Linked DNA regions of Callithrix jacchus. The protein of the gene in region 2 interacts with the protein of the main gene of each other region in a pairwise test. Links are inferred from orthologs where the notes say so. Each region holds a gene or a part of one and is shown on either strand. Other genes may lie near its edges. The genes, in order: GMPPB and TXNDC5.

Region 1 (15,285 bases), on a different chromosome or scaffold from region 2:
ATCATCTGAGGTCAGGAGTTCAAGACCAGCCTGGCCAACATGGCAAAATCCCATCTCTGCTAGAAATACAAAAATTAGACACGTGTGGTGTCATATACCTGTAGTCCCAGCTACTTGGGAGGCTGAGGCAAGACAATCACTTGAACTTGGAAGGCAGAGGTTGCAATGAGCCAAGATAGTGTCACTGCACTGCAGCCTGGGCGATAGAGCAAGAGTCCATCTTATAAAAACAAAAGACTTGCTTACGCTATGCTGATCAGAGTTCTGGCCTGGGTCGCAATAATGCTCCCTCCAGGCTGAGTGCGTCTCTCTTGCCTGCCGAGGACTTGATTGCCCTGCTTAAGCCAGTGCTCATACATCCTGAGATCCAGGTCTCAGCTGTGCTGTCATAGGACAGGGAGGCCTTTCCTGATCCCCAGGCCAGGCCATGCCCCCAAGACCCCACTGGTGAGCAGCCCAGCAACACCTGTGTGCCTACTGCAGGAGAAGATGCTGGACATCTACTGGCTGCTGCGCGTCTGCCTGCGGACCATTGAGCACGGCGATCGCACGGGGTCTCTCTTCGCCTTCATGCCCGAGTTCTACCTGAGTGTGGCCATCAACAGCTACAGTGCTCTCAAGAATTACTTTGGCTCTGTGCACAGCATGGAGGAGCTCCCAGGTGATGGAACCATTCAGGCTGGGGCAGAAGCAGAAAAGGAGTCTCTAGTGTGAGCCCTAGGAGCCCTGGTCTGAGACCTCTGTGGCTCAGCAACATACATCCGTGTGGGGGAGGGGTGGGAAGAGGAGGTGGAGCTTCCTCTGTGGTTCACCCTGCAGCAAACAAAGGTTTGTACCCTGCCCTGGGACCCACAGCCACAGAGCCAGCAGCTCCTTGGTGAAGGAAAACAGAAAAGATGGAACACAGTGGGTGGATACCCCTTGGCTTTCACTTCCTAGTGCTGTGAGCAACTGCCATGGTCCCGCAGCCAGCTGGCCCTTCACCCTGACTCCCTGGCACTGGTCACTAAGTGTGGCAGTTGGTCAAGGGCAGAATGGTTTGTCTTGGTAAATCACAGCAGGGGGGTGGGGCCCTGCTAGGGTCCACATATGAACCTAGGCTTCTTGCAGCCTGCTGATTCCAGGCTAGGCATGGCAGTGTATGTCTAGATCAGGCTGTGAGCTGTCAGGACCCTGGCCTGACCCCTGCCCAGCCCCAGGCCTCGATGCAGGTTTTGTCTTCAAAGACAGAGCTATGAGTGCCCAGGGAGTTTTGACAGCTCATCAAGTGTGTGCTGAGGTGGGTTTGAGCCCAGGTTAGGGCTCCTGCCAGCACCTGTCCTCCCCTCACAGTGAGCCTGTGCCTTAGCACCTCCACAGCCACCAGTGAATGCCTTGCCCGATGTCCCCAGATGCTACGCTGGGTCCACGATGGCCTTGGGAGCCAGCTCTAGAGCCTGCTACTCCAGCCCACCCAACCTGCCAAGGGACACGCCTGTCCCTGGAGCTCTCATTCCAAGCCAAGACGTCTCACTTCCCACCCTTGCAGGCTATGAAGAGACCCTGACCCGCCTGGCTGCCATTCTTGCCAAACACTTTGCAGACACACGCATCGTGGGCACTGGTGAGGGGCCTACAGAGGGTACAGGGGGAGGAAAACGGGATTGCACCTCTGGTTGGCTTTTTTCTATGAAAAATGTGGCCAGGTGGGCATGAAGCATGGGGCCAGGGCTCATGCCAAGCCCCTACTGAGGCAAGGCCTGTCCCCACAGACATACGAGACTCGCTGATGCAGGCTCTGGCCAGCTACGTGTGCTACCCACACTCCCTGCGGGCTGTGGAGCGAATCCCTGAGGAGCAGTGAGTGGGGCCTGGAGGGGCACACACCCTGCCTTCGAGCACTGTGCTCAGCCTCACCCCATGTCTCTCCCCTCCCTGCCCTCATAGGCGTATTGCCATGGTAAGGAACCTCCTGGCTCCCTATGAACAGCGGCCCTGGGCCCAGACCAACTGGATCCTGGTGCGGCTCTGGAGGGTAAGCCTAACTCGAGGAGGTAGCTGAGGCTGGCTGGAGGGAGAGGGTGCCCTGTCCCATTGACCCCTGCACTGCCCCCCATACCCCCCACAGGGCTGTGGCTTTGGGTACCGCTATACACGGCTGCCACATCTGCTGAAAACCAAACTTGAGGACGCCAATTTGCCCAGCCTCCAGAGTGAGTATCTGGGTTAGGCGAGTCCCGGGCAAGGCAGTGGGGGGCCTTACCCATGGGTTCTCTCGGACTCTCCACTTCTTCCAGCCCCTCTCCTGTTCCCCTGCTGAGTCCCATATGCCCTACCTGTCCTCTAGGGTTTCCACTTACCCTGCTTCCTTTCAGCGCAAGGATGCTCGGGGTGGGACTCCTCCCCCTTGCCCACAGTCCTACATGTGCCCTTTAAGCCCTGACGCTCTGTGTGGGTCATGGTGAGAGGGGGCACTGTCTTATTAGCCTGCCGCAGCGCATGCAGACTGAATACTCTGTCCCTTGCCCTCTAAGCTAACTCCCTGACCTCCAGCCTTGTCCCAGCATCATGTCCTTCTGCCCCTTTTCCACTGTCTGCTGGTGCCAGATCCTGGCCTTGGCTTAGGCCCCGGACACCTGAGTCCAGTGGGAGCACCAATTGGAGGTTGGCTAGGTCTCCAGAGGGTATTCATGGGGCTTCCTGGAGGAAGGGACATTTAGTTGGGAGCAGAGGCTGTCCAGGTCTCCAGTGTCCAGCAATGTCTCATGAGCCTGAGGACCTTGCCCTAGGCTTGACCTTGCAGAGTGCCCGCCACATACTGTCCTCGCCCTTTTTGGTGGTGTTTCTTGGCTCACATAGTGTGTTTCTGCTCTTGTGGGCAGTGTTTTGGTCTGAAGGATGTCCCCAGAAAGGCTGAATGTCTTGTGCTAAGTCACACAGCAAGTCCTTGGTCCTGCTTCCAGGGAGGAACTGAGCTGCAAGTGGAGAGTGACAGTGCGGCCAGGTCCGTCCTGCTGCTGCGGGAACTATTGATTTGCATCAAGCTGGTGGGGAGGTGTGCCGGGCCAGTTGCAGCTGAGGGCTCTGGTTACTGCTGCCTGCCAGCCCAGACTTGGTGCCCACCGCCTCGGCCATATGCCAAGGCCAGGCCAAGGGCGGCAGAGGACAGTAGAGGACAGCAGGTTTGCAGCAGGGCTCAGAATAGGCTCTTGGAGGAGCTGACCTTGGTGCCAGTGGGGAAGTGTCTAAGCCACCCTGTCTAGATCTGACCCCATCTGAAGGGTGTGTGGCGCAGAACTTGCTGGAGGTCAGGCTCTGGCTGTGTGGCTGCTCTCGGCCTGGGGTGGGTAGTGCGGTGTGGGGGCTGGAAACAGCTGTAGCCTGGGGCTTGCCTAGTAAAAGGAGGGGATAGATTTTGTCCAAACTACAAGGCAGCTGTCCCCTCCCCGCTTTCATGACCTGAGCATTCCTAGGGAGCCATCTTTCTGCCCTTATACCAAAGGCCCAATGGGTGAGGATAGAGGCAAACAGGCAGAGGCCACTGCAGTGGAGTCCCTGATGCTGCTGCCTCCCTGTCCCCCTGCAGAGCCCTGCCCCTCCACCCTGCTGCAGCGGCACATGGCAGACCTCCTGCGGCAGGGTCCTGATGTGGCGCCCAGCTTCCTCAACAGTGTCCTGAACCAGCTCAACTGGGCCTTCTCTGAATTCATTGGCATGATCCAGGAGGTGGGCTGTGGTGGGGCCTTGTGGGTGGAGGTGGGCTGTGGTGGGGCCTTGTGGGTGGAGGTGGGCTGTGGTGGGGCCTTGTGGGTGGAGGTGGGCTGTGGTGGGGCCTTGTGGGTGGAGGTGGGCTGTGGTGGGGCCTTGTGGGTGGAGGTGGGCTGTGGTGGGGCCTTGTGGGTGGAGGTGGGCTGTGGTGGGGCCTTGTGGGTGGAGGTGGGCTGTGGTGGGGCCTTGTGGGTGGAGGTGGGCTGTGGTGGGGCCTTGTGGGTGGAGGTGGGCTGTGGTGGGGCCTTGTGGGTGGAGGTGGGCTGTGGTGGGGCCTTGTGGGTGGAGGTGGGCTGTGGTGGGGCCTTGTGATGGTGCAAGGAACAAGGCCTGGTCCTGGGCTAGAGCCAGGCACTGACTGCTGCATGCCGACCTGTTGGTGGCTCAGATCCAGCAGGCTGCTGAGCGCCTGGAGCGGAACTTTGTGGATAGCCGGCAGCTCAAGGTTTGTGCCACCTGCTTTGACCTCTCGGTCAGCCTGCTGCGTGTCTTGGAGATGACCATCACACTGGTGCCTGAGATATTTCTCGACTGGACCCGGCCTACCTCTGAGATGCTGCTGCGGCGTCTTGCACAGGTGTGGCCATCTGGGCAACAAGGGTGGGACCCTGGGGATGCCCCACTGGTGACATTCCCCATCCACCAACGGATACCTGCCCCCCCCACAGCTGCTAAACCAGGTGCTGAACCGGGTGACAGCTGAGAGGAACCTGTTTGATCGTGTGGTCACCCTACGGCTGCCTGGTGAGGACCTAGAAACCCTGCACCCCAACACACCACTTGGTTCCTCTGCTAGGAACAGTAATGCCTACATTCTGTCCCTAGACAGCCAGGCTCAGTGCCCTGCAGCCTCGGCTCACCCTTCTGTAGGGAGGGCAGTAGGCAGGACAGACGGTGTCAAGCCTGGAGCCCCTACAGTGGGAGTGTATGGGCGGCTCATCTTCCTTCCTTCCCTTCCCCTCAGGTCTAGAGAGCGTGGACCACTACCCCATTCTGGTGGCAGTGACGGGCATCCTGGTCCAGCTCCTGGTGCGTGGCCCAGCTTCAGAGTGAGTGTTGGGGACTGGGCCCTGCGGGGAGATGGGTGTGTCTGGTGAAGAGGGGCTGGACAGGGCCTCCTGTTACCTCTGTTTCCTAATCTGGAAAACAGACCTCAGTATCAGGTTTTGAGGCAGAGGGAAGGTGGTGAGGTGTGAACAGCCTAAACGGGGCAGAGGGAGCTCCTCTAAGTAGGAGAATCTGGAACCCCAGCAGGACAGGGTGTCCTGGCCCACAGAGCCACTGGCTTGTGGCCACCCCTCAGGCGCTGGGCATGAGAGGCAGGACTCTGGAGGGTGTGCCATCCTGTAGCGGACAGGGCTGGGCTGCTGGTTGGAGAGCTGAACACACAAGGACCGCCTTTGTCTGCGAAGGCTCCAGCAATAAGCAAGTGCTGCCTTTATTAAGAAACTCTGGAGCACTGGGGTCCAGGATGGCCATGAGGGCCCCCAGCTCAGCCCCCACACATGAGGAGCTCCCAGACCCCCTTCCCTGCTCCCCTGCAATGGGAGCAGTGAGAGGCATGTGAAGCCAGGGCACCGCCTCAGCCATTAGGCTGAGACCAGTGCCAGCCCTTAAGAGGCTCCTGCCCTGGAGGGACATGGAGTTCAGCTCGGCCCTCCCAGCTTGGCCATGCTCACCAGGCTTTTTGGGCATTTTACTGCTGAAAAGAAGGGGCGCAGGCCATGATCCACTTCACTGTGTCTTGTGAGCCCACAGAATGGGCTCTGCCTTCAGAACAACACCTGGAGAGAGCCGGGCCTCTGGCTGGGGCTTAGGCCAGGGCCCTCAGGAGTCTCTTAAGGAGCCTTTCCTGCCTAGTGCCTGCCCACCGGACTCTCCGTGCAGTTGCAAAGCTTTCAGGAAGTTGGGTGTTGGCAGATGCAGGGAGTCCCATTTCACCAGAGGGTGGGCTTGTTTTCTCCTGTCTTAGGGTGTGGGCGGGATCTTCCTTCAGAGCTGCCTCCTTTTCCCTGTGGGCCCACTCCCTCCCACCCCCTTGGGAAGGGGAGGTAGTCCTGCGTCAGCTCTTCAGCACCACTCAAGAGTTCTTTGGCCCCTGAGGGTGGATAGGGGGCTCTGCTACAGGGGTTCTTCCACACGGGCCTGGGTCTCTCAGCCTCACAGGGCATTTGGGCACTAGGAGATTCCTGGAGAAGCAGGCACTAGCACAGCTTGCAGGGCCTGGGGCCTTTGGGTCCTGTGCAGGGGCTGAGCAGAAGGCAGATTGGGGACTGGAACCTCTCTCTCTACTAGTGAGTGAAAAGGCCCATTGTGGTTTGAAGCCCACACAGGAAGCTGGGGGGGAAGGCACAGGGCTCCCCACCAGCATCTGCCAGTTCTCTGGACCAAAGTAGGGAGCAGGGCGAGCAGCAAGAGGGTGGGGGTTTGGTCGGGGCTCTGTGCAGTCTAGGTTGTAATGAAACCTTGGGAGCCTATGCAGCTAGCGGACTCAGAGCTAGCCTTCAGCTGCAGGCCCCTAGGGTTGCAGAGATCGAAGTCCTCAGCTACTGCCAGCTGCACTCGGCCATTGAGGTCCCTCCGGCCTGGCTCCAGAAAGACCACATGCTTGTGGACGCTGGCCTTGCGGCTGGGTGCGTCTGGTGGTGTGGTGCTGAGCACTGAGGACTGTGCGCTCAGCTCATGGAGTGGGCTGGGTGTTCCGGGCCAGTGGCGGCAACAGCAGGCACGGTGGCAGCAGCGGCAGGGTGGGGCAAACAGGTAGAGCAGCACGAGCACCAGGCCCACGGCACAGCCCAGCAGTGTGGTGAAGCTTGTGTTGAAAGTTTCGGGCTCTGGGCGTGGGAAGTGCACGCTCACGTTGTACTCGTGCGTCTGGTTGTGATGCAGGAGGGGCCCAGTGGCCAAGCACACGAAGAGTCCTGCATGCTGCTCCTGCACGTTACCTATGGCCAAGCTGCCGTCAGCCAACACCGCGATGCTGCCATCGCGGGATCCTGGCGCCCTGAGCAGCTCCTGCTGCGGGGAAACCCAGGCAATGCGCATGGCCGGGACGCTGGTGTTGCAGTAAAGCCTTAGGGACCGACCCACCAGCGCGTGCAGGTGCTCTTCCGGCCGTTCTAGGCCAAGAGCTGAGGCCGACGAGCAGTTCTCAAAGATGCGGCTGTGCTGGAAGAAGCGCACGCGGGACGCGGGTACCTTGAAGGCTAAGCATGTGTACTCGCGTGCAAAGTCGCGCACGGCCCTGAGGCCCCGCTGGTGCCAGTGCTGTAGCAGTTGGTAGAGGCGGCAGTCGCAGGGCAATGGGTTGTTGTGCAAGTAGAGGCCGTTCTTGAGGAAGGCTGGCAGCGCAGCCAGCTCAGTTATGGAGATGTGTCCCAGTCGGTTGGAGGAGAGGTCCAGAGTAAGCAGGTGGGTGGCGCTCAGACCGTGCAAGTGGTCGAAAGAGAAGGAGGCAAGTTCGTTGCAGCCCAGGTAGAGATGGTTGAGTGCTCTCAGGCCATGGAAGGCATGCTCGTCCAAGTGTACCAGGCGGTTATTGAACAGAAGCAGCTTCTCCAGCGCCCCCAGCCCATCGAGATCGTGGCGGCCAAGCGACCGCAACATGTTAGATGATAGATCGAGCAGTCTCAGACCACTGGCATTGGCAAAGACACCGCGACCCAGTGCATCTAGTTCGTTATGGCCTAGGTGCAGGGTGCGAAGCTGTAAGAGAGGCGCCAACCAGCCGGGTCTCAGGCGCTGGAGTGCATTGTGGCTTAGGTCGAGGTCCGCAGTAGCGGCAGGTAACGCGGCCGGCACGTCCTGCAGCCCTAGGCCAGTGCAGCTCAGCAGGTCAGCAGCGCAGACGCATTTGTAGGGGCAGTTGTGGGGCATACGGGGCGGGAAACCCTCGGAGTCTGGGGTGCCTGACCCAACGCGCAGCATGCAGAGCAGTGCTCCCAGCGGCACCAGCCAGGTCATGGCGGCGACCACCAGACACAAGACAGACCAGCTCTGTGCAGGTCGCAATTCCAGGACTCACCTACTTCTGCTTTAGTGTGACGTGGGTAGCACCGGATGGCCCTTGCCGAGGAGGCACGGTGCGGGTTCTGCCCTGCCCGGCCGGCTGAGAGCCCCTGTATTCCTGTTCCCAGGTCGTGAGACGGGGCCGGACTCCACTCCACGGTCCCTTCGGCTTCCCCAGCCCTCTCGGAGCGAGTTCCTGATCAGCCCCTAAATACTCCCCCTGGGGCGGGGCTCGGGCTCCTATTGGTTCCTGTTTCAGGAGGCGTGGCGGCGGTATCCTCTAGCGCCCAGGGGCCCCGCGTGACCGCCAGAGGGGGAGTGAGTCCAACCCCTAAGTCTCAGCCTGCCTTTGGCTAGCAGCTCTCTGCCGCTCCTTTGTTCTCGAGGAGTAAAAGGGAGAGTCTAGAAGAATGTCTCCAAGCTGCTGTTAGTGTTTATTTGAAGTGATTTTGAAGGACTGATATATTATGGGACAGGCGGACTCTTATCTGAGGGTGGCACCCCTGAGCCTTCTTAAAGTGATACCCAAGGCTGGGCATGGTGGCTCATGCCGGTAATCCCAGCACTTTGGGAGGCCGAGGTGGGTGGATCACCTGAGGTCAGAAGTTTAAGACCAGCCTAACCAACATGGAGAAACGCCATCTCTGCTAAAAATACAAAAATTAGCCAGGCATGGTAGTATGTGCCTGTAATCCCAGCTACTCGGAAGGTTGCGGCAGGAGAATCACTTAAACCCCGGAGGCAGAGGTTGCAGTGGGCTGAGATTGCACCATTGCACTCCAGCCCGGGTGACAGTGAGACTCCATCTCAAAAAAAAAAAAAAAAAAGTGGTATCCCAGATTGTGTGGCACTTTACTAGAATCCAGGACTTGGGGTTTCAGAAGCAAGATGGAAAGGATGTGGGGGTGGGGGACGATCATGCAAGAGCCATGGCACTCCTCATTGGCAATCCCCATAGAGACTTTCAGCCAGGCCCTTCTGACTGCCTTTGCACCCTCCCCTACCTAGGAGAGAACGAGCCACATCAGTGCTCCTGGCAGATCCCTGCTTCCAGCTCCGTTCAATATGCTATCTCCTGGGACAGCCAGACCCCCCAGCACCTGGCACTACCCTGCCAGCCCCTGACCGGAAGCACTTCTCCCTGCAGAGCTGTGAGTGGGCCAGTGGGGTGGGTCAGGGAGATCCAGGGCTGGATCAGGTCAGGAGCTTTAAGAACAGCAAAGTCTGACCAGGCATAATGGCTCACACCTGTATCCAACCACTTTGGGAGGCCAAAGTGGGCTGATCACAAGATCAGGAGATCAAGACCATCCTGGCCAACCCTGGATGGTAAAACCCGGTCTATACTAAAAATACAAAAATTAAGCCAGGCACAGTGGCTCATGCCTGTAATCCCAACACTTTGGGAAGCCAAAGTGGGTGGATCACGAGATCAGAAGTTTAAGACCAGCCTAACCAACATGGTGAAACTATCTCTACTAAAAATACAAAAATTAGCCAAGCATGGTAGTGTGCCTGTAATCCCAGCTACTCGGGAGGCTGATGCAGGAGAATCGTTTGAACCTGGGAAGTGGAGGTTGCAATGAGCTGAGATTGCCCCCCTGCACTGCAGCCTGGCGATATAGCAAGACTAGCTGAAAAAAAAAAAAAAAAAGCAAAGTTCTAGGCTGGAAATATTCAAGAGGCACCACATCCTCAGCCACCTCTGGCTTGACACTACCTACCACTCCCCAGATGCAGATTATATCAGTGCTGACGAGCTGGCCCAGGTGGAACAGATGCTGGCGCACCTGACCTCTGCATCTGCCCAGGCAGCAGCTGCCTCCCTGGTGAGTAGACCCACAGCACACAGGCCCAACCCACTTGAATATGTGTGCACTTCTATGTAGGCACAGCAGACATCCACATAGCTGGGCATCCAACTCCAGCCCACTCTTCACTTTCCTTCTTGCAGCCCACCAGTGAGGAGGACCTCTGCCCCATCTGCTATGCCCACCCCATCTCTGCTGTGTTCCAGCCCTGTGGCCACAAGTCCTGCAAGTAAGTGGGCCCCACAGCTTGGTGGTGGGGAAGAGCAGTATGTACATGCTATGCAGTCCTCATCCCCTCCCCTGTTGTAGAGCCTGCATCAACCAACACCTGATGAACAACAAGGACTGCTTCTTCTGCAAAGCCACCATCGTGTCTGTCGAGGACTGGGAGAAGGCAGCCAGTACAAGCACTACCTCCTCAGCTGCTTAGCCCTCAGCCTGCGCCATCCTGGAACCCCCATCCTTGAACCCAGAGCCAGGCTGGGCCCTATTTATGAGCTCCCTTTGCCCTCCTGTACCCACCACCACCACCACCACATCCAACCTCCGTGCCTGCCTGTTTCATTGGTGGGAACCCAACCATGGCTCTAATTGTGCCTGAGCTTGACTTTCAGTCAGGGCCACAGTGAGCATTAAATTATTATTCCATACAGCCCTGGCCCTGGCCCTTCTTGAGGGAGTGGGGTTTGCTGGATGTACCCAGCAGGGATCCTGCCAGATGATGTCCACATGAGAAGGCAGGTGTCCAACGGCTTCAACTTCATCCAATGCCCCTCAGACAAATTAAAAGTCCAGGATCTTCTGATGTGTCAGGCCAGCACTCCCCTTGCGGATGGGAAAACTGGGGCTCAGCTAGCCCTACTGTATCCCCTCACATGATGATGCGAGGCTCTGGCACTGACTCGCCAATAGACTTGTGGGGTAGCACGCTGGCTCCGTTGAGGTAGAGCTCGTCGTTAACTATGACGTCCTCACCCAGCACTGTCACATTCTCCATGCGAACCTCCAGGAGAAGATAGGCCCTGTCAGGGATGCAGGCACATTCCCCACCCCTCTTCTGCCCCTCTCCCCAAGTAGCCCAGCCCACAGGCTTACCCACTGGCCCACGCGGCAGCGCCAGCCCACAATGCAGGACTCAAGCCAGGAGTGGGAGCGGATACGGGCATCCCGCAGCACCGTGCACCGCCGGATACATACACCATCCTCTACCACCACACCAGGTCCGAGGCTTACGTTGGGGCCAATGCTGCAGTTCTGGCCGATGCGGGCACTTGGATCCTGAGAGTGGTGAGAGAAATACAAGTGAGCCACTTGTCTCCCAAGACTGAGGAGGTTAATAACGGGCTGGGCAAGGGCCTCACCACCAGCACGTTGCCCACAATGCCAGGGCCTGAGCACAGCCGCTCAGGCTGCTTCTGCCTCAGTGACTGCAGGAAGAGGCACATGCCAGTGAGGAAGTCCTTGGGCTGCCCAATGTCCATCCAGAAGCCTGTAGGGAGGGATGTATCAGGGGCCTCAGCCCAGCCACAGACCACCCCCACCCTGTGGCCTCCCTACCTCACCCTGCAACTCCATGGCATATAGCTGCCCCTCCTTGGCCATAACAGGGAAGACCTCCTTCTCAATGGACGTAGGCTGCAGCTGTGGGAGTGGGCAGCTTGTGAGCAGGGTCATGGCAGTGATGGCCTGCGCCACCCCAGCCCACCAACAGGTGTATTCTACACACCTGGATGCGCCGCAGCACCGCAGGGCTCAGGATGTACATGCCTGCATTGATCTTATTGGACACAAACACCTGCGGCTTCTCCACGAACCGGTGAATGCGGCCTGTGTCAGCCTCACACACCACAACACCGTACTTGGAGGGTTCCTCCACCTTGGTCACCTGAATGCAAGGAAGGGGACCTCGGACCTAGTCCAGTGTTCCTCAGCCTTGATATACATGCTGTCCCAGATCTCAGAAACTCTGCCCCAAGTGCTTAAAGATACATATTGCACAGCTCTGTACCCATAACATCGGAAGGCAAATGAAGGCTAGGGGAAGGGGAGGCTGGGCATGGAGGGCGGAAGTGTCAAGAGAAAAAAGACCTGGCGCCTTACCAAGATGGAGCCCTCCTGGCCATGGTGCCGGTGGAACTGCACCATGGCTTGGAAGGGGAAATCGCAGATCACGTCACTGTTGAGGACGAAGAAAGGGTCTGCAGTCTCGGAGAGTAGGTCACGGGCCAGGGCCAGGGGCCCAGCTGGGGGAAGGGGACAGGTCACCACCTTGCTGGAGGTCTGAGTCCCTGATTCAGGCTCAGCAGGCCAATCCAGGCTGGGTCTTACCCTTTTCCTGGCCTTAAACCCTCCCCAAGGGACTTTCCTGTCTCTACTGACCTGTCCCCAAAGGCTCTTCTTCATGGGACATGGAGATTCGGATTCCCAGCTAGAAGGAAGAGGCCCCCCCAAGTCAGGTTCTACCAGGATGGGAAGTTGGGCGGGGACTGAGGGTAAGGGCCAAGAGTCCCTGCCTCACCCTCTGCTCCTGTGCCTTCATTTCCTTCTCCAGCACCTGCGACATGTAGCTCACGGCCAGGATCACGTGGTCCACGCCTGCCTGTCAGAACGCAGGCCGACAGGCGGGCTCAGCCAGAAGATAGGGGAGCCCCTGACTCCTAGTCGCTGGCCATCCCTAGTCCCGCCGGATCCGAACGCGACTTCGATCCCAATTCAGGGTCTTACCGCGGCCAGCGCCTCCACTTGGTGCAGCAAGATGGGCTTATTGCAGAAGTCCACCAGTGGCTTCGGGGTGCTCAGTGTCAGCGGCCGTAGCCGCGTCCCATAGCCCCCCACTAATATCAGTGCCTTCATCGCGCCTGCGGGCGTTGGAAGGGTGTGCCGGGCCCTGAGGTGCCTGCAGCCCGCCTGGCCGGCCCCTGCCGCGCACTCCCAACGCCGTCCCGGTCCCGCGCCCTTCACCAGCCCGCCTTTCAGACTCTAGTTCCACCTCGTCCGCTCGATCGCCCTGACGCCGGATCCAGGGCCACCACAACCCGGAAGGCAACGCCAGATGGACCGCGGCTGGTCCCGAACTCAAGCCGGAGAGGCGCGGGCAGTGACGCAATCCCCTGGGCCAATCGGCTGCCGCATACGTGGCACGGCCGCTGGCGTCGGAGCGCTGGGGCGCGGCGCTGCGACAGACGTAGCCAATGAGCGCTCGAGCGTGCCAGGCTGTCATGGGGACCCGGGTCGGGACCCGCGGGTCAGCTAGCCATTGGCGGATCCAAAGGCGGAAATGGCGCCAAGGGCGAGGCCATGTTCCCTGCTTCGCGTGGTCCAGCGGCCGCCGGACTCGCCCTGCCCTAGGACCCGCCCATTGGCCTCGGCCCAGGGAAGTGAGACCAGGGAAAGTTCCCGGGCTGAGTGATTTTCACAAAGAGACAGACTCGCCTCCGCTTTAGCGGCTTTATTTTTGACATACACGACCTCAGACACAAGCGGGGCGGGTAGCGCTAGGTGTACAGAAAGGAGTGGGCTCGGCCCAAGCACCCCCTCCCGCACGCAAGGTCCAGAACAAACGCAGCTGCGGCGGCAGCCACGGGTAGTGTCCGGGCGCAGGCCTCGGGTGGTGGGAACAGACTTCGCTTCCGGGAAAGAGGAGCAGAGAGCGATTCCCAGAATGCGAGGGCTTACAGTTCCCCGAGAAGCAAAGAACCAAGTTCTTCCCAGGGTTCTCCATTTTTTTTTTCCTCTTTAAAATATTTTTCAAGTCAGCACAAACATAACCAAATTGTACAGCTTTAAAGTTCAAAGCAATATGCATCTAGGGAACGTGCATGTGGCCAGGAGTGAGCAGTGAGCAGCAGCTACGGAACTAGCACAGGCGCCAGGCCCTTGATGGGAATCCCCACGCCCATTGCACAGGCCCAGAGAGGGAGGGGGGTGGGATCCCTGGCAAGTTGCTACACTGGTCCCCTTACTCTTTTAAGCACCACCCGTCCCACCCCACCCTCAGGAACTGGTGTCAGCTTGGCTTGGCCCAGGGAAGCACTATAGAGGGTGTCACCTAAGCACCCCAACCCATGATCCACGTTGCACTTTGGTCCCAAGTTGAGGCTAAGAAGGCGGGGCCTGGCAGGGACAGAGCTGTCTGGCATGGGGTAGGCAGAAAGCAGTGGCAGACAGTATGCACACACACTTGCCCACTACCATTAAATAACAGGGCTGATCTCCAGGTGTCCAAAGTGCTGAAAGGAGGGGCCCTGCTCTAGGGGAGGAGCAGCAAACCACAGGCCTTTTCACTCTTTTTAATGCCAAGAAAATACTGATAATAAGTGGGTGCAGCTTTGCTCGCTGTGAGGAGCAGCAGAATGCCGCAGCCTCTCCTCCCAGAATCTAGGAACCTGGGAGGCACAGGACATCCCCTGAAGGTCACAAACAGCTCTAGACCCTATGTCTTACCCTCCACCCTACCAGGGATGACTGTCTACACTAATCAAGGGCTGCTGCCCCCGTGGCTGAAGCCACAGAATGGTACATGACAGAACACCGTAATTTCTGACCAGAAACAGGCAAGCTGTCCCTCCCAGCCCCAAAGAATGGGAACCTGCCCACCACTGGCACCAGGGCCAGGAGCTAGGAGAGATGGCATCCATCAAGGAGTCCTTAAGAGGATGCATCTCTAAGGACCGGGAAACGAGTCCATCAGTTACCAAGGCCTATCACAGCTGGCAGGCTTTCCTTTAATGCCAAACAGGAACCTGCCTAAATTGACAATGAACAGTGGCCCTAGGCTTCAAGGAGAGGGTGCTAACGCCGGCAATGGCTGAAATAGATATCAATTACCTCCTGGACATCTGTGTTAGAAGCAGCAGGTCTGTGCCACTAAGGGCGGGCAGCCAAAATGACTAAAACCATGAGAAAGGAAGGGCCACCCCTCTAGCCTTCACTGCCCCACTGTCAGTGTTGACGGCCATATTCCAGGCCCACAGAAAGGGTGCTAGGTCAACGGGGAAACAACACCTACAATTTATTCTGCTATCAGGTCTTTATAAAAAGGCAAACCTGCGGAGGAAGGGCATGGGGCAAAGCTCACCTCAAAAACGGGAGTGAGCGTTCTGCTGAGGAAAGCATGAAGGAATGAATATATACTAATGAGCAAGGCTACACCCCAGGGAAGGATCCCGAGGGACAGGGGCTGGCAGGTGGACACATGGACAAACTGATGGACCCAGAACTGATCAGACAAAGCTCTCATTAGCAGAATATGGGCACCTGCACCCAGGGCCCATACCATGTCCCTGTGAGCAAAAAAACTTAAAAGTTCTCCCTCTAGGCCCAGGGCCAAGAGCGCCTCACAAAGGGCTGCTGCCTTGAGTTTGGCCTGGGGAAATGAGACCCTGAGCGGACCACAGTCCCTGAGCCCTGGGAGGAGCAGCCCGTCCAGCGGCAGCACAGCTGCCAAAACTTGAGGAGGAAGACTCCTACCCCCAGCACAAGAACTGCAAATACTGTCTGGACCACAGCCACCAGAGGCCCTGAGACCTGCTGGGACACTGACTCTCCCCCACTAAAGTGGGGTAGGAGGGAGTGGCCTTCTTAGGCAAGGGAATTTGGAGAGGCTGGCTGTTTCAGGAATAGGACAGGTACCTGGGGAACCCAGGGCTTGCCCTTGGCCATAAGCTGGCCTCAGCCCAGCTTCATTAATCTAGCTCCATGCTAAGGTCAGACCCAAGGA
Region 2 (14,805 bases):
AAACTTGGCCTCTCTGCCCTTCCCAACCTGCATGTGAGGTGCCACCTCCACTGAGGGAAATGGGCTGGTGACATGAGGTCCTTCTGCCATCCTGCTACTGACTGCTGGTTTCTTGAATAAATCCATCATAGAAGACTGGGGTTTTTTTTGGTGAAAATCATTTAAAATTGGTTTCCTACCATCCAATATACATGTCCCCACAAAGAGATTATTTTCATAAAGGAAATAATGTCAAATTTAAATCTATATGAAAGTCACACCTGCTCATCCAGCTTTCTTGTCAGACAAAGATGCAAATTTCCTCTCTGAGAGAGGTCTGTGGTTTTCTCTTTCACCTTAAGTTAGGTAAGTCTCTGGTTTAGTGACACACATCACACACCAACAGTCTCAACCATATAGTTTGGATTCTTTCTTTTTTTTTTTGAGACAGTTTTTGCTCTGTTGTGCAGGCTGGAGAGCAATGGCATGATCTCAACTCCTTGCAACCTCCATCTCCCGGGTTCAAGCAATTCTCCTGCCTCAGCATTCCAAGTAGCTGGGATTACAGGTGCCCACCACCACACCTGGCCAATGTTTGTATTTTTAGCAGAGATGAGCTTTCACCATGTTGGCCAGTCTGGTCTTGAACTCTTGACCTTGGGTGATCCACCCACCTTGGCCTTCCAAAGTGTTAGGATTACAGGCATGAGCTGCTGCACCCAGCCAAGTTAAGAGTCTTGACAGGTGAGGGACAGAAGTACCAAATCAGCAGCCAAGTTTCTGATTAGATCATCAGAGAAGATGGGGCAGAGCAGAAGAGCCACACAGACACACTGGAAAATGGCACCAGTAAGCAGCAAAGCTTCAAAAGAACCATGTGGACACACATGGTCTACGGACCACCATGGACCGTGTGGACACACGTGGTCCACAGAACAGCTTCAAATCAGTGGGTGCCTAGCTGACACAAGAAGTCAGTCTTAGGTAATTATTGAAACAAATTACAACGACTTCAGATGCTCTTCCTAGCTCATCAGGATCCTACGACGTAGGAACACACGCATCTTTCTAGGCCCTCTCCAACACAGCAGCATGAACCACCAGGTCTGCCCAGGCTCCAGGGGCCTGAGTGCTCTGCATTAATCAGAAGGCACCACCTACAAAGGGACACTTAACCAGTGGTTTATGATCATGATGCTTTATGACACAATGAAGACTTCCAACATCAACTGGGGAGGGGGAAGATTATGAATTTTTTTTAGTACATAACATGCTAAGTATCTATAATCTCCTGACATTAGCCTTAGTACAGGAAATGCATTAAGACACAGAATATTCATGGTATGAAATGATGTTATAAGCAAAGCCCATTAGGGATCGGGGACTGAGCACCGAGAAGAAAAGGAAGGATCCATACTACGGGTACAGGTGGCGGGCTCGGCCTGAGCCAGGAGGCTGCAGGCGGCGGAGGGCAAAGGTCGGGGGTATGGGAGGAGGCTTCACTGCTGGCCTGGACAGGAGAGTCTGGGCTGGGCCCGGCCCTGACCCCAGGTGGCCAAGAGTCAGTCTTGGATGCTGGGAACAGTTGTGAACTGTATTACCTGTGACAGTGGCAGGGTGGCAGTGTTAACAAGGACTAAGTGCTCATCTGTGAGACTCCACAAGTGACCTCCTTAAAGAGCGACTACAGCCAGACAAGGCACAGGGTGGTGGGGAAGACAACCACCACAGCCAGACAAGACACGGGGTGGTGGGGAAGACAACCACCACAGCCAGACAAGGCACAGGGTGGTGGGGAAGACAACCACCACAGCCAGACAGTGGCACAGGGTGGTGGGGAAGACAACCACCACAGCCAGACAGTGGCACAGGGTGGTGGGGAAGACAACCACCACAGCCAGACAAGGCACAGGGTGGTGGGGAAGACAACCACCAGAGCCAGACAGTGGCACAGGGTGGTGGGGAAGACAACCACCAGAGCCAGACAGTGGCACAGGGTGGTGGGGAAAACAACCACCAGAGCCAGACAGTGGCGTGGCACAGGGTGGTGGGGAAGACAACCACCGCAGCCAGACAGTGGCACAGGGTGGTGGGGAAGACAACCACCGCAGCCAGACAGTGGCACAGGGTGGTGGGGAAGACAACCACCGCAGCCAGACAGAGTGGCACAGGGTGGTGGGGAAGACAACCACCGCAGGCAGACAGTGGCACAGGGTGGTGGGGAAGACAACCACCGCAGGCAGACAGTGGCACAGGGTGGTGGGGAAGACAACCACCGCAGCCAGACAGCGGTAACTGCTGAAGCTGAGGGCCGTCTTCTCCTGACTTTTGTGCACATTTCAGTATCTCCATACCAAAAAGTTTTTGTAAAAGTTCATCTTTACCTATAATATCAATGAGCTCTAAAAAAAAAAAAAAAAAGTAAAGTTGCTTTAAAATGGCAGCCTTAATCATTCACCTCAACTGGTCTCTGCCCCATTACATACAACCCCAAAGATGCAGACAGGAAGAGAGGGAGGCGCTCACCACTGGCTCCTCATTCAGCGTCTGTAGCATCCAGTTTTCCAGAGTCTGGAAGTCCCGAGGACCCTGGTACTTCACAGCTTCTTGGCCCGGCTTGAAAAACTTTAAGCTGAAAGCATAACAAAGGATTAGACAGAGCAAAAAGAGAGTTGTCTTATCAAAGAGCAAACTCATTTAGTAAAACCATCAGAAAATGAGCTGTCAAGAGGCTGCAGCCAGGCACATATCTGCTCCTCTCTGATAAAACTCTAAAAGGAAACAAAAATAACGTTCCAGGAGATAATACATTGTTAATCCTAAACTTTTAGAAGTTTCTGATTTTATTTAAGGAAAATAAAAATGAGGTGAGAACTTCCAGCCTAATGCTGTGACTGAAGCCCCAAGCTACAAGTATTCAGTGCTCCTCTGCAGCAGTCTCAGGCCTTCCCTGCAAGGTACTGTTATGTTTTCTCAGCTTCAGCAGTGGTTGTTGTGTACATGTTCAAATTAGGACTGTAACAGAGGCAGTGTTGTTTTGCAATAGCAGTATTCTTCCAGGCCACCCTGGCAGGTACTCAACTCGTGCAAAGCATGAATATCCAGTTACTGTGAGAATTCGTGTCCAACTGTAAGAGCGACCTTGACATTGACTAACACAGTCCATTCGTCTCCCCACAGAGAAGGAATCTTCTTTTTCCTACAAATCGTGGCCTCTGGAGGAACCTACAGAGAGGATACAGGAGCTGGCCCTTTAACCATAAGCAAAAGACAGCACCAGAGGATGAAATTAACACTCCCAGTTCCTGGATCACCCCATCAGTCATAGGAAAACGTGCTCTAGATAAAAATTCATAGAAGGTGTCAAGGACAGGGAAAAATGTGACTGCTAACAGAAGGTACTAACGGAGTACCATTTGTTGGCAAGCCTACTCATCTAAAACACCCCTGCCACTTCTACAGCACGTATGTGGATTTTGTGAGTAGATGCCCAATGTATAGTATCAGAATTATAAGATACCAATTTATGAAGAAATCAGACATGAAGGTTTGAATAGTGTCTTAGTTCAATGGTGGTAGCAGAAGACCACAGACTGGGTGGCTTAGAAACAACAGAACAGATTTCGCCTAGTTCTAGAGACCGGAAGTCTGAGATCGAGGTGCTGGCAGAGTCAGTGTCTGGTGAGGGTTTTCTGGTTCACAGATGGTGTCTTCTTGCTGTGTCCTCACATGGCAAAAGGGGCAAGCGAACTCTCTGGGGCCTCTTTGATAAGGTAGGTATCCCCATTCAGGAGGGCTCCACTCTAATGACCTACTCCCCTCTCAAAGGCCCCTCCTCCTAATGTCAGCATTGAGGATTAGGATTTCACCATATGAATTCTGGGGGACACAAACATTCAGTCCATAAAAAATGGCTAATTATCCTTAAAATGAAGTTACATGGCTAGAATAGGCTTTGAAATTCAAATGGGCATAATGGCCTTATGCAGAACCTAAGATCACCAGTGCCATAGGGCTTACATAAGGCCCCTAATGTGTCTCCAATACAGACTAGACACCCAGCTTCCTCAGCAGCTTAGATGCTCATAACCACCAACACCAAGCTTCACTAGATTCAGTCAGTACACCAGCTACTTCAGGAAGTTCAACATGATAAGCAAGGGCAAAGTCTGTGGTAACAAAGACGACTGCCCTCACCGAGCCCAGCACCTCCCGGGGCTCCCACCGGTGTGTTCTGCACCCAGAGAAACAGAAACTTCTTCCTGCATGGCTCTGCCTCCCACCCACCTCCTCCAAGTGCCTCTCCATCAGTGTGCTTCGGGAAGGAAAACGGGTGGATCCTCAGAATAGGAGACAGGACCAGGTACTGTCACATGCATTCCTCGTTTCTTTGCTAAAAGTAAAACACAGTAAGACCTAGCCTGTGATTTTTTGTGATTTGCTATTCATTTGAGCAAAACAAAAAACAAACAAACAAAAAACCCTCTTCTTGTTGGCCTGAAAATCTTTCTAACCTGCTCAAGTCTAAGATTATTCCTCAGTAAGTTCACGGAGCTCAGGGATAGAGTGGGCACGTCTGGTCCAGACCTTCCAGTTGGTTTGGGGAATCTGACTTCAATTCTCACTGTTGATGAGGTGAAGGAGGTGATGGAGACTGGGCCACAGGGTACGTGCCCAAAGTATCATCCCAGATTTCTGCCATTACCAAGCCTCCACATGGGCATTTGAGTCTCCTCTTTCAAGAGGACAGCAGGGAGAAAACTGCCATGTAGGCGTCACCTTGGCAAACAACATGCTGAAAGTTCTACTACTATAAAGAAGGTTATGAGTTGAACAGTGTCCTGTAAAACACATCTGTGTAAGTCATAACCATCAACCTTAGAAGGCTGACCTTATTTAGAATAAGGTCTTTACAGAGAGATATTCAAGTTAAAGTGAGGTCATCAGGATGGGCCTGAATCTAGCATGACTGGTGTCCTTGCAGGAAGGGTTAATTTGGAAGCAGCAACACACACACACACACACACACACACACACACACACAGAGAAGGCTACATGAGGACAGAGGATGGAAGTGATGCATCTATATACCAAAGAATGCCAAAGATGACCAGGAAGCCAACAGGAGCCAGAATGAGGCAGACGATTCCCCCACAGGTTTCAGAGGGAGCACAGCCCTGGTGGCTCCTTGATTTAGGACCTCTTACCTCCGAGACTGTGGACAATACATTTCTATTGTTTCTGGTCACCTGGTTTGTGAAACTTTGTTACAGCAGCCCAGGAAACTAACACAGGTGGTTTCCTCCTTCAGTCCTGCCCTGCTGTAACGATTCACAATGGCTCAATAGGAAGACCCTGAAACATTTTCCTGGACACAGCCAGCCATCTCTAGGGGGCATGAGAGCCCAAACTCCCTGCCCCTCCACCCCCTTACTCCAGTGACACTTGCCAGGGAAGAATGACATGAAAGCTGATGTCCTGACACACGCCTGGGCTCAGGCAGGTACAGTTATCGTCTGAGTCAGGCCTCACAACCACTTTGTGGGATGGGTGCTGTCTAGGAGAAGTAAAAGCTCACCCAAGTCAATCTCTAGATGCCCCAACGCGACCACATTTCATACAGCACATTCCACCTCCTGCATTCTCTAGGGGAAAATCATCTGTTCTCAGGAACTTCTGCAGGTCAGTGATGGGCACAGAGGTTCCTTCCCAAACTGTGTTCAGAGTGGTGTAGACTCATTTTTGTTCTTTTCAATAACACAAAACCAGCCCATGGTTTATTTGGGGAGATGAGATCTTCTCATTAAAAATCTAAATACATGATCCAACATGGGCCTTTTTAAGTCTGTGACTTTTTAAATGTGTGATGGTATTTGGTGAATATCATCTATGGAGTAGCTGATATTGCAGCCAATAGTCGTTACGGCCAGGCTGGGGCGGAACCCTTCACTTCCTTCTCTGAAGCCCCATAACACTTACCACTCTCAGCTCCCTCACAGGTCCTGTTGTCAAATTCCCCGTGACATGGTTTGTGGTGCACACTGCCTCAGGCCACAGATTAAGGTTAGCAGGTTAAGAGTGGAAAGACACCAGAGCCAGCCCACCCCTGCTGCCCCTGAACCTTGAAAGCTATAGGCTTTCAACAGGTAAGCATTCACCTCCTCGCCCTCATCTCTGCTCCCTGCCTGCTTCTTAGGACACGACTGATTCGTACTTTAAAGGCAATACTATGAAGCACAGAATACTGAATGCTTTTATGTAGATACAGACTGTAGGCAATTTTATCTCCACTGATCTGATTTAAAGTAGACCCAAATTATGGCACTTATATTAGCAAGCAGTCACCAAAGACCAAGAATTCCAGAGTCCTTTGAGGAAATGCCCACATTTCCAAATGGTAGGAAAAGCCTGACGTGTATTGGGCTTGCTCAGATTGGTGTCTGAACACATACCATGTAAGTCCCATAACAATGTCTGGGGGATCACCTTAGACGGTAAAGATGAGGCCAGAGCTATGTGCTAAGTAAATGGTAGAGCTGGGATTTGACTGTGACTTCTAGGTTCAAGCTTAGGGCTCCCTCCACTTTTCTGCCTCCCAGGTTTGAAGATAAGCTCCAATTTTATGCTTTATTGATGGCCCCTCTATTACTCAATTAAGCATTGAATTGTATAGAATTGACTTCATTCCTCAATTGAAACCAACAGCAAGGGAGTGACCATAGCGAACCCTCCAACTCCTTCAGAAACAGTGTCTTCTCTTTTTTCAAGAACTGCTTTTCCCTCCAATACTTGGCACATGGTATGAATGGGCATGTGTCTTGCTATAAGCTCCTGTTTCCCTTACCACAGTGACTATTCCTGGAACGAACACTCCAGCCAAGCAGGCCCAGTCAGTAGTGGGCTCTTCTGTGCAAACAGAGATACAGGCCTGGAAAGCCATCATCTCAAGGGAGACACAACAGAAACAGACCCCAGACCCCCCAGAGCTGGGTCTCAGAGGTTCCTTCACAGCCTTTTAAATAGTCATTTCTTTTTGTTTAATAAGAGAATGATTATATTTCTAGAACTGAGAACATTTCAATTTATATTTCTTATAACCAGAAAAAATTCTTAACTGTCAAGGAATTAAGTATCATCGACTGTCAGACTCTATACTTCTTTCCAACAGAACAGCCCTTGCGGGAGTCACACGGGAAGTGACTATAGGAAGGGTGTTTGAGAATAAAAGTCACCGAAAAAAGCAAGCCAGAATTGATGATAGTCTATGCACACTGTGTAAAATGTACCAGGGAACATCCAGCATGGTGGGAATCTCAGGGAGACCACCATTTTTGTCTTGCAAACGCATTCTCTTATAAATGTACCGGTGAACATTTTAAACCCAACACTGATGAATTAAAGGTTTTCCAAAGTACAAAAGGCATCTAAAATAGACACAGCACTAAATGCAATTTCTCCCTAATCACAGGGACTGCCTGCTTAAATTTAGTATCTCTTCACTCCTTAAAACTACAAAGGAAGTTACCAAAAGTTTAACTACGACTCTCGTAGCCAGGAACCATCTGGGAAGGGTGCCCCTTCCTTCCGACTCACGTAGGGTATCCTCGCACCCCCTGGGCGGAGCACACGTCAGAGTCGGCCGTGCAGTCCACTTTAGCCACGTAGACTTTGGCATCTTCCATGCTGTTGTATTTGTCTCCCAGGTCATTCCAAGTTGGCTGCAGCCGCTGGCAGTGTCCACACCTGAAACAAGCAAGAGTACAAGCACACTGAGTGCCAGGTCACAGGGTGGCCAGCCTGCACCTTCAGCCCTGTTGAGGGGGCAATGGGACTCTCAGCCCTTTCTTTATGTCATGGCAGATGGCAACTCCTGGACCAGTACTCCAGGACCTCCCTTTCTGCTCCCGCCCCTCCAGAGTCACCGTCTTGTTCTCAGCATTAAATCTCAGCATCGTCTCAACATTAAACTTAGCAAAGTGTTGTTCTGGACCTACATGTTCTGGCCCTGTGACCTCCCACTTGACTTCCTCGCCTTGCAGCCTACTCCTGAGCCCTATGCAGCACCTGCAGTGTTCCCAAAGGGCCATAGCTTGGCTTGGCCCTGGGACCTGAGACACATTCTCTCCTACACTTCCTCCCAAAACTCCAGCTAATTCTGTCTGCCCTTCAGGTTTAGTTTGGGTGCTGCTTCCTCCAGCAAGTCTGCCCTGACTCCCCAGGATGTTCAGTGCCAGTCTCTTTTCCTGCCCTTCTGGAAAGCTCCTCTACGCCTCCTGTGGGCAGTAGCTTAGCACTTCTTGCTGTATCTGCTACTTTTATCAGTCAAGTCTCCTCCAGTATGTAACCAAATAGCCACAAATATAAGGCAATCCCAAAATTTAATCAACTGCAATTTTCTCCAATGAGAAGGAAAAAAAAGTTTGTGGCCATCTAAACTTCTAGCGTTGAAGCCAGCAAATGTCTGTTTAGAGTATTCATTGTATGAATTCAGTTATGTACACATATTTTTAAATCGCCTATCATTTGAAATAGGATATTAATTAGGTTTCTTGCCACGCTTCACATTTCATGAGGGTATCAGCACCTTTCCCAACACTACATCTTCTTGAGTCATACAGCTGATCACGACTCTCACTACGTTCTCAGGATGGTAGGTCTACAGTGCTGTATTCCAATTCTGAATGAGACAGCCCTAGAAACTTTATCCCAAGTTTCAACTACAATCCCATAGCATGACGACACATGGGCTTGTTTCTTTTTTAATATGGTAGGTACACACTGATGCCTACAATGCAACCACTTTGCTGTGTTGCTTTTTAAAATGTTTTTTAAAAAAACACTTGCTTGTAAGAACACCAACACTTAGAATTGTGACCGCTTCCCCAAAATAATTTCTTAAAAATCTTTTTCTGGAGAACGATCCAAGATGGCCGATCGCTAACATCCCGGGATTGCAGCTCTCAGGGAAGGCGCGGAGAACTAGAGGACACCACACTTTCAGACAAATTCTGGTCGCTCACGGAGCAGAAGATCCCCCAGTGGAGGAAACACACAGGTGGCCAGCGCGACTCTCGTGGCCGGCGCAGCGGTTCCGCCGGCACCTCGGCACAGCAGCTCTCGGAGCAGAGTAAACAGGTTCGGAGGACCCGCACGGGTCCCCAGCAGGACACCAGAGCCTGGCGCAGCGGCTGTGATGGCACCTAGGCACAGCAGCGCTCAGCGCAGAGTAAACGGGACCGGTTCCCCTTCTGACCGAGGTTTGGAGCCCCGGGAAGGCAGAGTCGCCTACTACGGACACAAGAAGGAAGCCAGACAGGAGAATCCTGGGCAGAAAAGCACCATCAGTTTTAACGCCGCTGCTCTGGCCCTGGGAACTAAAAACCTGGACATCCACTCAAGAGACCTAATCTGGAAGTTGGTAATTTCAAAGAAGACAGGAGGATAAATTTACAATGACGGGAAGAAATCGGCGTAAAAAAGCTGAGAATACTCAAAGTCAGAACACCTCTCCCTCTAAAGATGATCACAGTTCCACATCAACAATGGAACAAGGCTTGATGGAGAAAGAGCGCATCCTGATGACAGAATCACTCTTCAAGGAATGGATAATAACAAACTTTGGTGAGTTAAAAGAACATGTTGTAGCCCAACGTAAAGAAACTAGGAACTTTGAAAAAAGGTTTGATGAAATCCTATTGAGAATAGACAACTTAGAGAGGAGTATGAGTGAAATAATGGAACTGAAGAATACAATACAGGAACTCCGAGAAGTATGCACAGGTTTAAACACTCGAATTGTTCAAGCAGAAGAAGGGATATCAGGGGTCAAAGTCCAACTTAATGAAATAAAACATGAAGAAAAGATTAGAGAAAAAAGGATAAAAAGGAATGAGCAAAGTCTCCAAGAAATGTGGGACTATGTGAAAAGACCAAATTTACGTTTGATAGGTGTACCTGAATGCGACGGAGAGAATGAATCCAAGCTGGAAATTACCCTTCGGGATATTATTCAGGAAAATTTTCCTAAACTAGCAAAGTAGGTCAACATTCAACCCCAGGTAATACAGAGAACACCACAAAGATATTCCTCAAGAAGAGCAACCCCAAGGCACATAATCGTTAGATTCACCAGCGTTGAAACGAAGGAGAAAATACTAAGGGCAGCCAGAGAGAAAGGTCAGGTTACCCACAAAGACAAGCCTATCAGACTTACAGCAGATCTCTCAGCAGAAACTCTACAAGCCAGAAGAGAGTGGGGGCCAATATTCAACATCCTCAAAGAACAGAACCTTCAGCCCAGAATTTCATATCCAGCCAAACTAAGCTTCACAACTGAAGGAAAAATAAAATCTTTTATGAACAAGCAAGAACTCAGAGATTTTATTAACACCAGGCCTGCTTTACAAGAGCTTCTGAAAGAAGCATTACACACAGAAAGAAACAACCAGTATTAGCCTTTCTAAAAATACACCAAAAAGTAAAGAGCACCAACATAAAGAAGAATTTACACCAACGAATGGATAAAACAGCCGGTCAACATCAAATGGCAGTAACCCTAAATTTAAATTGACTAAATCCCCCAATCAAAAGACACAGCCAAAACCCAATGGCATGTTACATCCAGACCTGTTTCACATGCAGGGATACACAAAGACTCAAAACAAAGGGATGGAGAAAGATTTACCAACCAAATGGAGAGCAAAAATAAATAATAAATAAATAAAAAGCAGGAGTTGCAATTCTCATATCGGATAAAATAGATTTTAAAGCAACAAAGATATAGTGGTAAAAGGATCAATGCAACAACAAGAGCTAACGATCCTAACACCCAGATACGAGACTTAGATTCAATGAGACAGAAAATTAATAAGGATATCAAGGACTCGAACTCAGATCCGGAACAAGTAAACTTAATTAATATTTATAGAGCTCTCCACTTCAAATACACAAAATATACATTCTTGTCAATACCACATCACACCTACCCATAAGTTTAAATGAAACATTGATTGGCCATTATTAATACCCAATTTTTTTCAAAATAAAGCAATATTTCCATTTACTCTCCCTCTTTCTTCCTCTCCTTCACTTTTTTTTTTCTTTCCTTCTCTCAAAAAAAAAAGAAATCAACTTGTAAACCTCTAGATCCAGGTCGGCAATGTCTCTCTCATTGCTTGATTTCCTTCCTTCCCTTCCCTTCCCTTCCCTTCCCTTCCCTCCCTCCCTCCCTCCCTCCCTCCCCGCTTCCTCCCTTCCTGCCTTCCTCCCCCCCCAAAAAAAATAAAAATAAAAAAAATCTCTTTTTCTTTTCTGACAGATTACCTCAAAAACAAGCATTTAAGTCGGGTGCAGTGGCTCATACCTGTAATCCTAGCACTTTGGGAGGCTGAGGCGGAAAGCTGCTTGAACTCGGGAGTTCAAGACTGCCTAGGCAACACAGCGAGACCCCATCTATAAAACATTTTTAAAAACTAGCCTGGTGTGGTGGCACACACCTGCAGTTCTAGCTACTTGGGAGACTGAGGCAGAAGGATCACTTGAGGCCAGGAGTTTGAGGCTGCAGTGAGCCATGATCACATCCCCCCGCAGTTCAGCCTGGGTGACAGAGTGAGATTTTGCCTCATAAGAAGAAGAAAAGATTTAAAGGTAGCACTGAAAAAGTCTGCTTCAAGCTAATGTATCTTCCCTTAACAGCATTTTCTTTTTTTTCTTTTTTTGAGATGGAGTTTCGCTCGTTACCCAGGCTGGAATGCAATGGCGTGATCTCGGCTCACTGCAACCTCTGCCTCCTGGGTTCAGGCAATTCTCCTGCCTCAGCCTCCTGAGTAGCTGGTATTACAGGCACGCGCCACCGTGCCCAGCTAATTTTTTGTATTTTTAGTAGAGACGGGGTTTCACCAGGTTGACCAGGATGGTCTCGATCTGTTGACCTCATGATCCACCCGCCTCGGCCTCCCAAAGTGCTGGGATTACAGGAGTGAGCCACCGCGCCCGGCTTTAAACAGCATTTTCTTGGCCAACTAAGAAAATCCCTACTTTATGAGATATTCAGATACCAAAAAAAAAAAAAAAAAAAAAAAAAAAATAGTGAAACCATACATGCAATTTAACTCCTATAGATTCAACACAGTGAGTTTGACAAAAGGTGTGTGTGTGAGAAGGAAACGAGGAAAAAAAAAGACAATTCCCACAGAACCCTGAAGTGGGTGCAAGCCGGGAGATGTGAGGGTTTTGTTCCTCAACTGGCTTGGTTGCTGCATGCTTCTCATGGCATGAGCATCTACAGCTCTACGCGACTACAGTGTGACCCCGCTACCTAAAGACACAGGTTTGAGAACTAGTCCATTTGGTATTCAAGCAAAGAAGCCATGACAGTTCTAATGCTGGCGGAAATGCTGGCAGTGAGGACTTACTGACTGGGGTCGTGTCCAACAAGGCACCTTCCGAAGGGACTGTCAAGGGCAGTTCTGACCCTGGGGGGCTTTGATCAGAGATGCTCATTCTGGAACTTTAGAACTTCTCTGCAATCTTGACGAGGTTTTGTTTTGCTTCTGTTGTTTTATTGTGAAAACACAAGACTAGATTAAGAATGAGAATAAACAATAAATAAGTTTGTTGTGCACTAAGTCAAAACTGACCATCCTGGGCCATCACCAAGCTGGGCATGCCCTTGCCCCTGGCTGTGATGGGGCTACAGGTGCTATCTAGTCCGCACAAAACCCGGCTCTGAGACCGCCAGCTGCATTTACAAGGTAGCCTGTGGCCAAGAACTAGAGCAAAGCTACCTGGTCCAAATCTTGACCTCACTGTCACCAGGTCTAGGGTGACTCACAAACTGGCCATACAGAAGCTGTCATCTGATGTTGGCACAAAATCTACAGCAGTAGGACAACACTGCAGCTGCCAAGTTCCAGGCAAAAATACACAGATCAATGTTTTTGTTACAGGGGCCCCAGCCCTCTTATCACAAATGGGCTTTCACCATTCCACGGCAACTGAAACTGGAAAAAGGTATGTGTGTGTTGAGGGGGAGTCCACTGAGTGTTCTGAGCTCCAAATGCTCAGCTCACTACTCCAGCACGTGCCTACCTCTCCTGCACAGACCCCTCCAGAGATACCACCTTGTTCTCAGCATTACACTCACCAAGGTGTTGTTCCAGCTATTGTGGGTCCTACTGGGTCTTGCCCCTGCTGACCCCCCATCTGACCTGTCCGCCCCCTCAGCCTCCTTTCCTCACAGCCGACTCCTGAGCCTTACTGCAGTATCTCCAGTTTCTGAAAGGTCCCTCTTAGAAGTCCAACTTAAACACCACCATAGAAACCCACATACCTCTGTTTAAATATTTGTAGTAGACTATAAAGAAGCCAACAAATAAAAACATAAAGTTACTTTTTCTGGGAGCATCCACCTAAGTATCTAATGCCACATACAATGAAAAAGGAATTTACTTAATACCAAGTGCCCAGACGTGCCAGTTCTCTCTCTCACTCAGCCCAGGACTGGCTGGTATTTATTGCAGAGTTTCTAAAATTAAAATCCCTTTGGCTGCAGGAACTTATTACATCTACATGTCAGTTTTTCTTTTAAAAAAGTAAAGAACAGGCTGCGGTGGCTCATGCCTGTAATCTCAGCACTTTAGAAGGCCAAGGCAGAAGAACTGATTGAAGCCAGGAGTCTGAGACCAGCCTGGGCAATATAGCGAGACCCTGTTTCTATCAACTACAACAACAAAAATAAGCTGGGGGTGGTGACCTGTGCCTTAGGCACAGCTACTCCAGAGGCTGAGGCAGGAGGATCACTTGAGCCCAGACTTAGAGGCTACACTCAGCTGCAATTGCAGCTGTGTTTCAGGGTAGGTAACAGAGCAAGATCACAGCTCTCAAACAAATAATGAAGAAAGAAAAAACCCATGGACAGAACTATTCCACTTAAATGGGTTCCAACTAAGTAGTATATTTCATTGAAATCGTTGCTCTGAGAATACTCCTGTATAGAGAGAAAATTATTAATACTGCCTGACTGTTTTACGTTACAAAGTAATTTCAACACCATTGGTAGTTCTAAAAATTCTAATCTAGGAATCTGAAAGATAATGTACTTCATACAGTTAATAAACCCACACTGGCCCAAAAAGTTGATTTGACTCCAAATGGACTGAAACACAGTAACAGCCTGAATACGGGGGTGAAGAGAAAAACGATTCTCCTAGTTTGAAAGATACAATTTCTGAACTGACCATTTTTCTTAGGGTACCTTTTCTCTATTCTTTCCTACATCCCTTTCCCAAAAGAGCCTCTGCTGAGCTCTGGGGAAGTATACCAAGTTCTACAACAAGCACCTGCAGGCCATTCCTGCCTCTCAAAGGTCTTAGGTCCTAAAATTACAGCTTTCTGCCCTGGCCCGTAATCACTTCCCTCCCAAGGAGCATCCCGGCGCTGGCAGGAAAAGCAGTGCACGCGCTTGTGTGAATGACAGGAAGCTCTTCCGTGGGGCGAGTCCCAGGGTAGGGGTCTCTCAGGTCAGCAGTGAGGCCCACACCAAACCCTGCCCAGAGAACCAAAGCAGGAAGAACCATCTGCTCAACGGAGGGGCTTTTCCGATCTCACATGTGACCTGGCCCCGAGAGAGCAGGGGGAGGTGAAAGGACACTCTGGAGTTGAGAACCAGTGGGCTCCGGTCACAGAGCAGAGAGCACGTCTACCCTGGGCTGCGGGGGGTCCCAGAATTCGCACTGCTCTGGTCTTCCCGGAGTAGCTCGGCAACCCTCCTCTGCCTGGACCACTCCTTCCTATCCCGCAAAACACGCACAAAGTGGGAAAACACAC

Evidence for each region.
Region 1: the proteins of TXNDC5 (region 2) and GMPPB interact in a two-hybrid assay, tested with the Homo sapiens proteins (2 studies listed by BioGRID and IntAct). The two-hybrid records come from large-scale screens. The link is inferred for Callithrix jacchus from reciprocal best matches to the Homo sapiens genes TXNDC5 and GMPPB.

The regions. Positions count from the first base shown.
Region 1 is NC_133516.1:32,329,392-32,344,676, forward strand, and holds GMPPB (mannose-1-phosphate guanylyltransferase catalytic subunit beta), read right to left. Parts: upstream 12,644-15,285; 5' UTR 12,420-12,643; coding exon 12,291-12,419; intron 12,166-12,290; coding exon 12,085-12,165; intron 11,995-12,084; coding exon 11,946-11,994; intron 11,810-11,945; coding exon 11,667-11,809; intron 11,452-11,666; coding exon 11,293-11,451; intron 11,208-11,292; coding exon 11,129-11,207; intron 11,056-11,128; coding exon 10,928-11,055; intron 10,845-10,927; coding exon 10,662-10,844; intron 10,570-10,661; coding exon 10,438-10,569; 3' UTR 9,997-10,437; coding exon of another isoform or gene 9,876-9,996; 3' UTR 9,796-9,875; coding exon of another isoform or gene 9,710-9,795; 3' UTR 9,585-9,709; coding exon of another isoform or gene 9,490-9,584; 3' UTR 8,907-9,489; coding exon of another isoform or gene 8,764-8,906; 3' UTR 8,171-8,763; downstream 1-8,170. Other genes in the region: E3 ubiquitin-protein ligase RNF123, read left to right, coding at 484-661, 1,529-1,603, 1,752-1,839, 1,927-2,014, 2,108-2,192, 3,566-3,705, 4,136-4,324, 4,416-4,491 and 5 more; AMIGO3 (amphoterin-induced protein 3), read right to left, coding at 6,196-7,710. UniProt on the Homo sapiens protein: Catalytic subunit of the GMPPA-GMPPB mannose-1-phosphate guanylyltransferase complex. Catalyzes the formation of GDP-mannose, an essential precursor of glycan moieties of glycoproteins and glycolipids. Can catalyze the reverse reaction in vitro.
Region 2 is NC_133505.1:22,398,167-22,412,971, reverse strand, and holds part of TXNDC5 (thioredoxin domain-containing protein 5), read right to left. Parts: intron 7,723-14,805; coding exon 7,573-7,722; intron 2,612-7,572; coding exon 2,506-2,611; intron 1-2,505. UniProt on the Homo sapiens protein: Protein disulfide isomerase of the endoplasmic reticulum lumen involved in the formation of disulfide bonds in proteins. Can reduce insulin disulfide bonds.